Mus musculus: one gene and its partner. The protein of the gene in region 1 purifies or fractionates together with the protein of each later gene. This does not show direct contact. Links are inferred from orthologs where the notes say so. Each region holds a gene or a part of one and is shown in the gene's direction. Other genes may lie near its edges. The genes, in order: Acvr2b and Inhba.

The links.
Region 2: the proteins of Acvr2b (region 1) and Inhba purify together in Homo sapiens (affinity purification with western blotting; 3 studies listed by BioGRID and IntAct, with this or other methods). This does not show direct contact. The link is inferred for Mus musculus from reciprocal best matches to the Homo sapiens genes ACVR2B and INHBA.

What each region holds. Positions count from the first base shown.
Region 1 is NC_000075.6:119,400,799-119,405,271, forward strand, and holds the start of Acvr2b (activin receptor type-2B isoform 2 precursor), read left to right. Parts: upstream 1-1,379; 5' UTR 1,380-1,747; coding exon 1,748-1,799; intron 1,800-1,851; exon of another isoform or gene 1,852-1,995; intron 1,996-4,473. UniProt on the Homo sapiens protein: Transmembrane serine/threonine kinase activin type-2 receptor forming an activin receptor complex with activin type-1 serine/threonine kinase receptors (ACVR1, ACVR1B or ACVR1c).
Region 2 is NC_000079.6:16,010,132-16,014,732, forward strand, and holds the start of Inhba (inhibin beta A chain preproprotein), read left to right. Parts: upstream 1-1,719; 5' UTR 1,720-1,959; exon of another isoform or gene 1,960-2,068; 5' UTR 2,069-2,255; exon of another isoform or gene 2,256-4,319; 5' UTR 4,320-4,401; intron 4,402-4,601. UniProt on the Homo sapiens protein: Inhibins/activins are involved in regulating a number of diverse functions such as hypothalamic and pituitary hormone secretion, gonadal hormone secretion, germ cell development and maturation, erythroid differentiation, insulin secretion, nerve cell survival, embryonic axial development or bone growth, depending on their subunit composition.

The sequences.
Region 1 (4,473 bases):
CACACACACACACACATGCATGCACACATACACATACAAACACACATATAAATAAGTAAAATATAATAAAAATCTTAAAAGAAATAGAAGATACACTTAGCAACGTGAATGGACCCTAGTGACATCTAAGGAGCCCCTCAGCCCTCTGCTGTTAAAGCTGCCCAGATGTGAGATGGAGGGTGCTGGTGGCACGGGGCATATGGAAACATATGACTGTATGTTGGATGCACATAGATACAGGCAAGAGAGCACACACACAATCAATCAATAAACGAACGAAAAATAGGAAGAGTCACAGATGGACTGCGAGCTCGAGGCCACCTGAGGATTACATAAGGAGAGGAAAAAGACCACATTTAAGAGCAAAGGTTGTCAGACAAGGTGCAGACTTCTTGGGAAGCTGAGGATCCCTACCTCAACACCAAAGCCGTAGCAGAAAGAAACTCTACCCAAGTCTGGAGGACTTCAACACCGTCATTTTCATAAGGGAAGTCCGAGGCTCGAGCAAATGAAATGACCCAGGCTGGGGGGGGGGGGCGGCGGGGGGGAGCGTCCTTCCTCCTATGACCCACTGCTCTTGGTGAGGCAGGAGGTAACTATCCGAGGATTCCATAGCATTTTTTTCCCCTGAGTAGTGACTGGCTTTTCCAGTGTAGCTGGGAGGCCGATTGCTCTCACACTCTGATTGTGTAACATCTGAAATGGAGGGATCTGGTGTGTGTGCGTGTGTGAAAGGAACAGAGGCATGTTCTGAACAGATCTTTAGAGGTGGGAGGAGTGCTGAAGGTAAGATGAAGGATGCTGGATTGCTGAGGATCCTTCAGAAAGCAGGTCGCCAACAGTTCTTTCCCACCTGCAGCTGCTCTGTGGGTCCTCCTCTGCTTGGAGATAACTGTGCGTGCGTTGTGAGGAACTGCTGTCAATTCAGACTTCAGCGTTTTCCTGCCAATTAATTAGCCCATAAATGGGAGCTGGAGGGCAGAGGTCCTAGGTTATGGGGACCAGGAGCTACCCACTCACTCAGGGGTCCCAGAGGAGCGTGCATCCCGTAGCGTGGGCTCCATAGCACGGGGCAGGAAAGCACCAGCCAAGTTGTGGGCAGTCCAATCCCACCAGCTCGGAGAGCGCGCCCCGCCTAGCCCTAGAGTCTGGTGCTGCAGGCGCGCTGTCTCCAGAGGGCGCGGGCTGGGGGGCGGAGCCTCGGTGTTGTTGTTCCTCTCCGGCCCCGCCCCCAAGGGGGGCGCGGACCACGCGGCCGGAGGGCCCGCCTCCCCTCCCCCTCCCCGCCCAGCTCGCCCGCCTCTTTGTATCCAACATCCGGGTTTCCCCGCTGGCTCGGCTCCGTGGCCACCGCTCAGGAGCCATTTTGGACTCGGTTCAGGTCCCCTCCCCCACCCCTCCCCCGTTCATGGCCCCTCCGGACTCGGCCCCTGCGCCCGGGGCCCGGGCCCAGCCCCGTTGCGCCATGCCCGCGTCGGGCGCGCCCTGGCCCGCGCCCCGCCGCCGCCCCCCGGCTCCCGCGTCGCCCCATAGCCCGGGCCGCACTGCGCGCCGCCCGCAGCGGCCCTGAGCCCCTATCTCCGCATACTGCCTGGGAACCGAAGCGCAGAAGCGCGCGCTCCTGGAAGCGAGACCCAGAGAAGGAGCGGGAAGCAGAGCGCAGCCGCCGCCGGGCCCTGCGCGCCCCGGGAGCGCAGCGCGGCCCTGCCCGCGGGCTCCGGGTGTCCGCGGGGCGGCGCCGCGGAACATGACGGCGCCCTGGGCGGCCCTCGCCCTTCTCTGGGGATCGCTGTGCGCCGGTAAGGACCGGGCGCGTCGTGGGGGTGCAGGGACCTGGGGCGCGCGGTGTTTACCAACAAAGGGCGGCCCCGCGGCCTCGGCGCCGCGCCACCTGCCTGGGATCGGGGTCGCGCGGGGCGCTCTGGTGCTTGCGATCTTAGAGGCGAGCTCGCCCGTGCGGTTCCTCTGCGCGATTCTGGCTCGCAGAGGTTCTAGGTGATGGGGGAACCTGGAGCGTCAGGGTCGGGGTTCAGGTTCCGCGGGTGTGCGGACCCCAGGGATAGAGCGGGGAAAACCTAAGCGTGGGGAAGGCGGCCAAGCGGGGTGGGCATCTAATTGGGGGCGGCTGGGTTGGGGCTGCTCGCCCCTGAGAGTCATAGGTGTCGCAAAGCGAAGCGGACGGCTTTCCATAGCCCGCCCGGAGTCCTCTGCATCCCGTCCCGCCACTCCGCGTCGCGATCCTCATGCGAGTGGCTCCTACCTGCGCCCGCTTTTCTTGCAGCGGGCCGCAGATGCGCCCTCGTGGGACCGCTTTTGTTTTGGGCAACTGGGAGTGGAGAAGGGTTGAAGAGGCGAACCAACAGGTCTCAGATCGCTTCGGCCGGCACGTGGCGGGCGTGAGTGACCCGCGGTCAGCTCGCAGCCGCCTGCGGGCTGTGGATAGCTGGTGCGCGTCTGCTTGGGACTAGAAGGTGTGGGTGTGTACGCACGAAGTTGTGTTGGGAAAGCGCTTTCTCCCCCAAAGCCTAGGCACTGATTTCTGTGTCCCGATGGTGCTGAAGCGTGCTCAACTTTGTAGGAGCTCCGGGGCGGGCTTAGGGCAGTTCCAGGAAACGTGGACAGTCGGGCATTAAGACTCCAGAGAAAAGATCGTGGAGATTAGGACGGCTGGTGCCCGGTGGCTGGGGCTCTGGGTCCTGCGCGTCTTTGTTCCCAACCCCCATTACACATGCAGCTCGGGTCCCCTGCGGCCCGAGGTGGCAGCAGCGCGGAGTCTGGGAAACCCGCGAGGGGCGGGGCCCGGAGTGTAGGGAAGGGCTGGGATCCCCCTTGCAGCTGCGGGGGTGGGTATCCCAGATGGTCATTGCACCCCCTCACAGGGATCCTCACTTTCAATCTTTTCTATTACAAGGTAGTGAGGGTTAGCTGTTAATTCCGACCCCGAGAGTTTTTGCACGAGCCTGGGTGCGGTGGAGCATGAGTGTACGAACCAGAGGGCAGAGATAACTTCTTTGCTACCCGAGCCCACTGTTGGGAAGCGGTTTCAGTGCTGTCCTGGAGTGGTAGAGGCAACGCGGTGCTCAGGGTGAACATTTTGTTTCTTTCTGCCACTCCCCGAAGTGTTGCTCCAGAGATTTTTCACCCCAAGAATGAGAGCCTGGAAGTGATGGAAAACAGTGGTCTGCTCCGGGGAGGGCGGCAGCAGGCTGACCCCAAGTTATAGGACCAACCTCTAGTCGGCTCTTGACTTACTGGATTTCTGCACCTGGACATGTATGTGCCTTGCCTCTTTTAAGTTTAGGTTTGTTGAAAGCATTGTCTCAGGACCGTTCGCCTCAGACTAGAAGTCTGTATGTACATCACTGCTCCTGTTTGTTCCAGTTTGACCTCACCAGTCACTTCCCATTTGGAGGGGCAGAGTGAGAGTGGATCCCTGGTACCACATTTGCTGCACTGTTTGGGGGAGTGCATAACGGAACACAGAGGCACGTGTTCTGACTCAACCTGTGGTTCTGCCTTTGGGGATAGAGTCACCTGTGTTGTGGTGGCTGCTGCTTTCTCTTTTGAGGAACTGGAGGAAAACTTTGAAGGGTTGGGGTAGAGCTGGCCTTCCTGTGCCTCTGGCTTCAGAGATCTTTCCTTCATGTTTCTGGCTTGATATTCGGAATTACTCAGCTCTGTGGTAAAAAGGAGAGATCTGTATATTGGTGCTGCCAGCGGGAACATGGGCTCGACAGATATATTCAACTTAAAAATTCCCAACAGCCCTGTTAGTAAAAGAAAGAAATAGCTGTGTCTTTAGTGTTTTCTGACTGCTTTCATACCGCAGGACTGGGTGGTTCAAACAGCAGTGTGAGGCTGGAGAGATGGCTCAGTGGTTAAGAGTGCTTGCTGCTCTTGCAGGGGACCCAAGTTCTAGTCCTAACACCTGAACTCTACTTCCAGGAGGGTCCCCTGCTGTCTGGCTCCGAAGAGAGCAACAGGCATGTGTGTGGATGGACACACAGACATAGTTGCAGACAAACACTCCTGAGATAAGTACAGTTAAAGTAGCCATATGTATTTAGAAACCAGCAGTGCTTATTTTAACATGGTTCTAGAAGCCAGGCCAGGGTGCCTTAAGAGAGCCAATCCTGCAGTCAGGATCCCACCCTCATGGTCTAATCCACCCTTACCACTCCCTAGAGATCCCACTTCCAAAGACCTGTATGTCTTTATTGGTGGTTAGGGCTTTGCTATTATGAATGGGGGGGGGTGCAGAGCCTTCCTCTTTGTCATCGTTGGATAGAATTAAGTTAACATGAAGATTAGTCATTTCAATATACATCACTATAATTAATGAGGCAGGAAAAAAAGTTTTTTTCCCCGAGACAGGATTTTTCCATAGAGCCTTGGCTATTCTGGAACTCGCTCTGTAGACCAGGCTGGTATGGAACGCCTAGAGCTCTTTCTGCCTCTGCCTTCTGAGCACTC
Region 2 (4,601 bases), on another chromosome or scaffold:
AGTCTGGGTTTCCAAGTTCTCTTGCAGCACAGATGGAAAGGGAATTGGGTGAAATCTTAAAATCATGACTCTAACTCAGGGCTTCTCACTGTATAATCATTGCTAATTTTTCTAGCGTGGGCACCATCCTGTGCTGTGCATTGTAGGAGAGCTCTTAGCATTGGCCTCTGTTCAGTAGATGCCAGTGGCACCTCCTTCCTGGTTATGACAGCTGAACGCATTGTCAGATGTCCCGGAGAGAGAAACCAGTTCAGCTGAGAACCGCTGTTCTGGAGTGAACAACAACGCTTTACTTACGGAATTTTTCCTTCTTTTTCTTTTCCCATTTTTTAACTGTAGCATCTGGGGCCACTGTTCAGATGACAGTCTTCAATATCCTGAAGGCAGGTCCTCATAGACAGCATGAGGCCTGAAGGGATACTCAGGTGGTTCTGAGAAAAAATGTGAGTCTTAGGAATCAGGGAGTTTGGGGTTAACCGTCTCTTATTTGTTGTTTTGGATACAGTTCAGAGCAATGTGAATGCCCCCCTTTCCAGTTCGGTTTTGAACTATTCATTCTTGTTCTAGCTTAGAAGCACACAGCCCCCTAGTTGGATTTTTGACTGCAAAGTGCCGCTCCATCTCTGGCCCAAATCCTGGTATCTAACATTTGGCCCAAACTAGTTGCAGGCTGTGGCCTGTAGGAAACAGACAGGTTTGCCAACCCCATACTCTACCAAAGCCGTTTGATGGGATGGTTAGACAGGGACTTCCACAGTTTACTGCAGCAAATATCATTCAGAGTCCTGCCCATGTTTTCTGGATGTTGTGCTGTCTCTTGTGGGGGAGAGGGTAACCCTAACCAAGGAGGCCAGGTCTTCCCCCCCCCCCCACCACCCCTTAAGCCCAGAACAACACGTAGCTGATGAGAACACCTCAAAGGTTCTTTTCATTTTTATAGTCACGTTTCATGTTTACTTTCCCAGCAAGGCAGGCAGAAATCATGAATTTTTTTTTTTGAAACAGATTTTTCATAGGAAGGAACCAAACACCCTGAGTTATCAGCAGCTTGTCTGTGCCTCTGAACCACCAGCCTCCTGTCATTCAGTTGAATCAGAGGACACTTGTCAGTCACCTGCTTAAGGTGTCCACATTCTCTGGCTTGCATGTTTCACTGAATCACAGGATCTGTGAGCAGCAGCTAACCACAGAGTCAGAGTCGTGGAAAACGGCTTCCTTTCCAAGCCTGTCTCCTTGCTTCAGGGATAGTGAGGGAAGAGCGATTAATAGCCTGCATGAAAGCTTAAGGACATACGGTTTGCTTGAGAGGAAAAGTGAATATTCTCACGACTTGATCTCTGCCAACTTTATATGGGCCCAGCTGCTGCACAGGGCAAACACACTAGTCCAGAGTTAGCTATGCCCCTAAGATGTGTGTCACCACAAGCCACCGGCCAGCACTGAAACGCAGGTTTCCCTCATCCACACAAAGGAGCTCTATCCTCAAAGGAACTTTGTTTCTTGACCAGCTCACTAATTGTGATTGAAAACACCAGCTCCCCAGCAATGCTCACGCATCCGAGTTAGCAGAAACAAGACAGGCCCTAATTGCTCCATTTACATAAAAGTAGAAACATACAACTTCTAAATATAAATCTCTGGCACATCTCTTCTTTTGCAATTACAGTAAAATAAGGTACCAGTTTCCCTCCGGGCTCCTCCTCACAGCAAGCTGCTCCCGGGGTTCGCTAGTGGCTGCTCCTCCAGGCAGCACCGGGCCAGCGTGGAGTTGGAGCTTTGTGAAGTAGCCAGTAAATCAGAACGCCTCCGCTAGGTGCAGAGCGCGGTGGCAGCGGGCCACTCTGCCAGTGCGGTAGTCGGTGGGACCGAACTCTACACTCGGGAAGGGGCAGTCTGCGGGTGCGGGGCCTGAGCTGCCGCTCGCCTCCGTTGGCCAGGAGACCGGCAGCCCCACTGCAGGTCCTGGTCCCTGACATTCCCTGGCACCGAGGGCTGGGATCAGAGATTCCCGGCTGCACTCACTGAACAGTGATTTTTTTTTTTTCTTTCCCCTCCCTGAATTCTTTAGCTGCCAAAAGGGGGGGAAAAATCAAGAGCTGCGCTTTTAAACGAAGTTGCCCTTGCTGGTGTTCAGGGTAAAAATAGAGGCGGCCGCTTGGACCAGCTTGGCCCCTGAGTCCAGGCGTCCCGCGAGCCGGGCTGGAGCTGCGCATTCGGGAGTGATCCCTGGAAACTGCCAGCAGGTGCTGCTCAAGGTACGGTGGCAAGCTGAAAAGGGACAGGGCCTGGGTGCAGGGAGTCTCCGCGGGAGGGGCAGGAAGTGAAAGAGAAACCAACCCCGCTCAGAGCTGCGCTGACCAGCGCACGCCCTGGGCCCTGGAATTCAGCTGGGAAACGCTGATCCTCAGCCCAGAATATTCCACAGAAGCATTTTAACCTACCTGCTTCCTCCACCACCCCCACCTGGATTTCCATGGAGGAGAGGAGGCTTTCCCAAAGTGGTTCCAGCTCTGAGGTTGGGGGAGATTCAGCTACGTCATAGCTGCTAGACTGGCTTAGCAGGTTGGCACTTTCAGGGTGTCAAAGGCCAACAGGGTCTCAGAGTGACCCTGTGTGAGGCGGCCCCTGCAGTCAGGGTCTTGAACATTCTTATGACACACATGCTTAAGAAACTACAGGGATGCTCCGAAATAACATTCTTTTGTGACCACTGAGTTTTGATCCTGAAATTATACATCCCACTTTATAGATGGAAACACTGAGGCTTGAGTTTAAATTAGGAGGGCGCCCCGGAGCTGGGGTCTGATTCGGGCACTTTTCTGTGCCAAGCCAGTCTACAATCTACATTCGGGTGCAAGTGGGACTTTCCCTGAAGTTATGTGTGAGGCAAGAAATGAGTTTAGATGCTCAGGGATTCTTATCAAACAGCATGGAAGTGCCTCTCTTCCAAAGGTTTATGTTCACCCCGGGGTTGGGGTTGGAATGGAAATGACTATCACTGATTATCTTTCTGTCTTTGCCACCCATATTCCTGTCATTTTCCCCTGCAACTTTATTTCCTACTTCAGTTCTCTTATGCGGATCTTAGAATACTCCTTCCCCTTGCCCCTCCCCTTCCCCCACATATAGCTAGCATCCACACTTTGAAAGCCCTCAAGAGAGACCCTTTCACAGACAGCTCCTGGTGTCATAAAGAAACCTTCCCCACTTCACATCAGGAGACCAGAGCCTCTACAGTTTGCTTATGGGCACAGTGAAAAGTTTATTTTATGCATCTTAAATCCGGCACACGAAACAACATATCTGGTCATATGGCTTTCATTAGTCCCCAGTTTTGCACGTTTTATCCAACTTGTCATAAGAACCTGGTCAGTGCCTTAGCTGTACTTCGCCCCGAGAACAACAGCCCTTCTTCACTGTGCTTATCGGGGCATTCGTCTCTCTCTATGTTATCTCCCTGCCAGTGTGACCCAGGCAAAAGAAAACCCAAACCTAACTTTACTTCTATTTTAAGGAGAGTTCACTTCTTTTCATTAAACTCATATTTATAGTGTTTACAAATGATTGGACTTGAAGTTCTAGCTTTTAAAGAAAAGATGCAGGTGTGTGTGTGTGTGTGTGTGTGTGTGTGTGTGTGTGTTACTGTTGTTTTTGCTAGTTAGGATGGGACTCATCTAGGCAGGATACTTATGAAGTTCACTTGCAAAGGAAGACCATTTCCCAAGTCCGAGGTGATAAATGATGTATGAAGCAGGCATTCAATTTCAAGGTGTAAATTAATAGTGTGAGTCAAAGCAGGGAGACCATCACCACATGGACATACAGATTTTCCTGAAAAAAATATTTTCCTATAATCATAATTATAATACTAGAATTCCTATAAAGAACACTATGAATTTTCTTTGCTGTGGAAAAAATACGGTGCTTTGCAAATAGAAGTAACTTTATGAAGTAACAGATGTCTTATGTATAGACATAAGGCTGAACCTGAATCTAATAAGAGGTGTATGTATGAATAGTAAAATGTCAAAGCTGGACACTCTTGGAGATGTGTGTATGTGGTTCTCTTATGTTTGTAAAGGGTGGACTATTCCTAGCCACAGGCTTTACTGGCTCAGGACATCACCCAGGTCCTGTCTCAGAAGCCAAGAGAGATTTCCATTAGATAATGAATTATGAAATGTCTCACACTGGAAAAACGAGTCATCTGCTGATGTCATGCTGATTCTAACCAATCCTAAACAAAGCCCCAGCCCTCCTCTTTGAGAGGTACCAATGTGTGAGTGTACAACTAAGTACTACAGTATAAAACTTCACAGTGCCAATACCATGAAGAGGAATTCAGACAGCTCTGACCTCATGAGACAAGAGCCGGCTGACAAAACAGAAGGGACCCGAAAGGTAATGCTTTTAAATTCTTGCTTCTGAGCTCTCTACACATTAAAAGTCAGTATGGCTAAAAGGACTTTTACAACTTTTTGGCACCTCCATAGGCATTGTAAATTGTATCATTTTCTATTGTGCAGGCAGGTTAATACTGTTTTTTAATAGTCCTAGAGCATGCAAATAGATTGTGTTTATACAACCCACTCAGCACACAT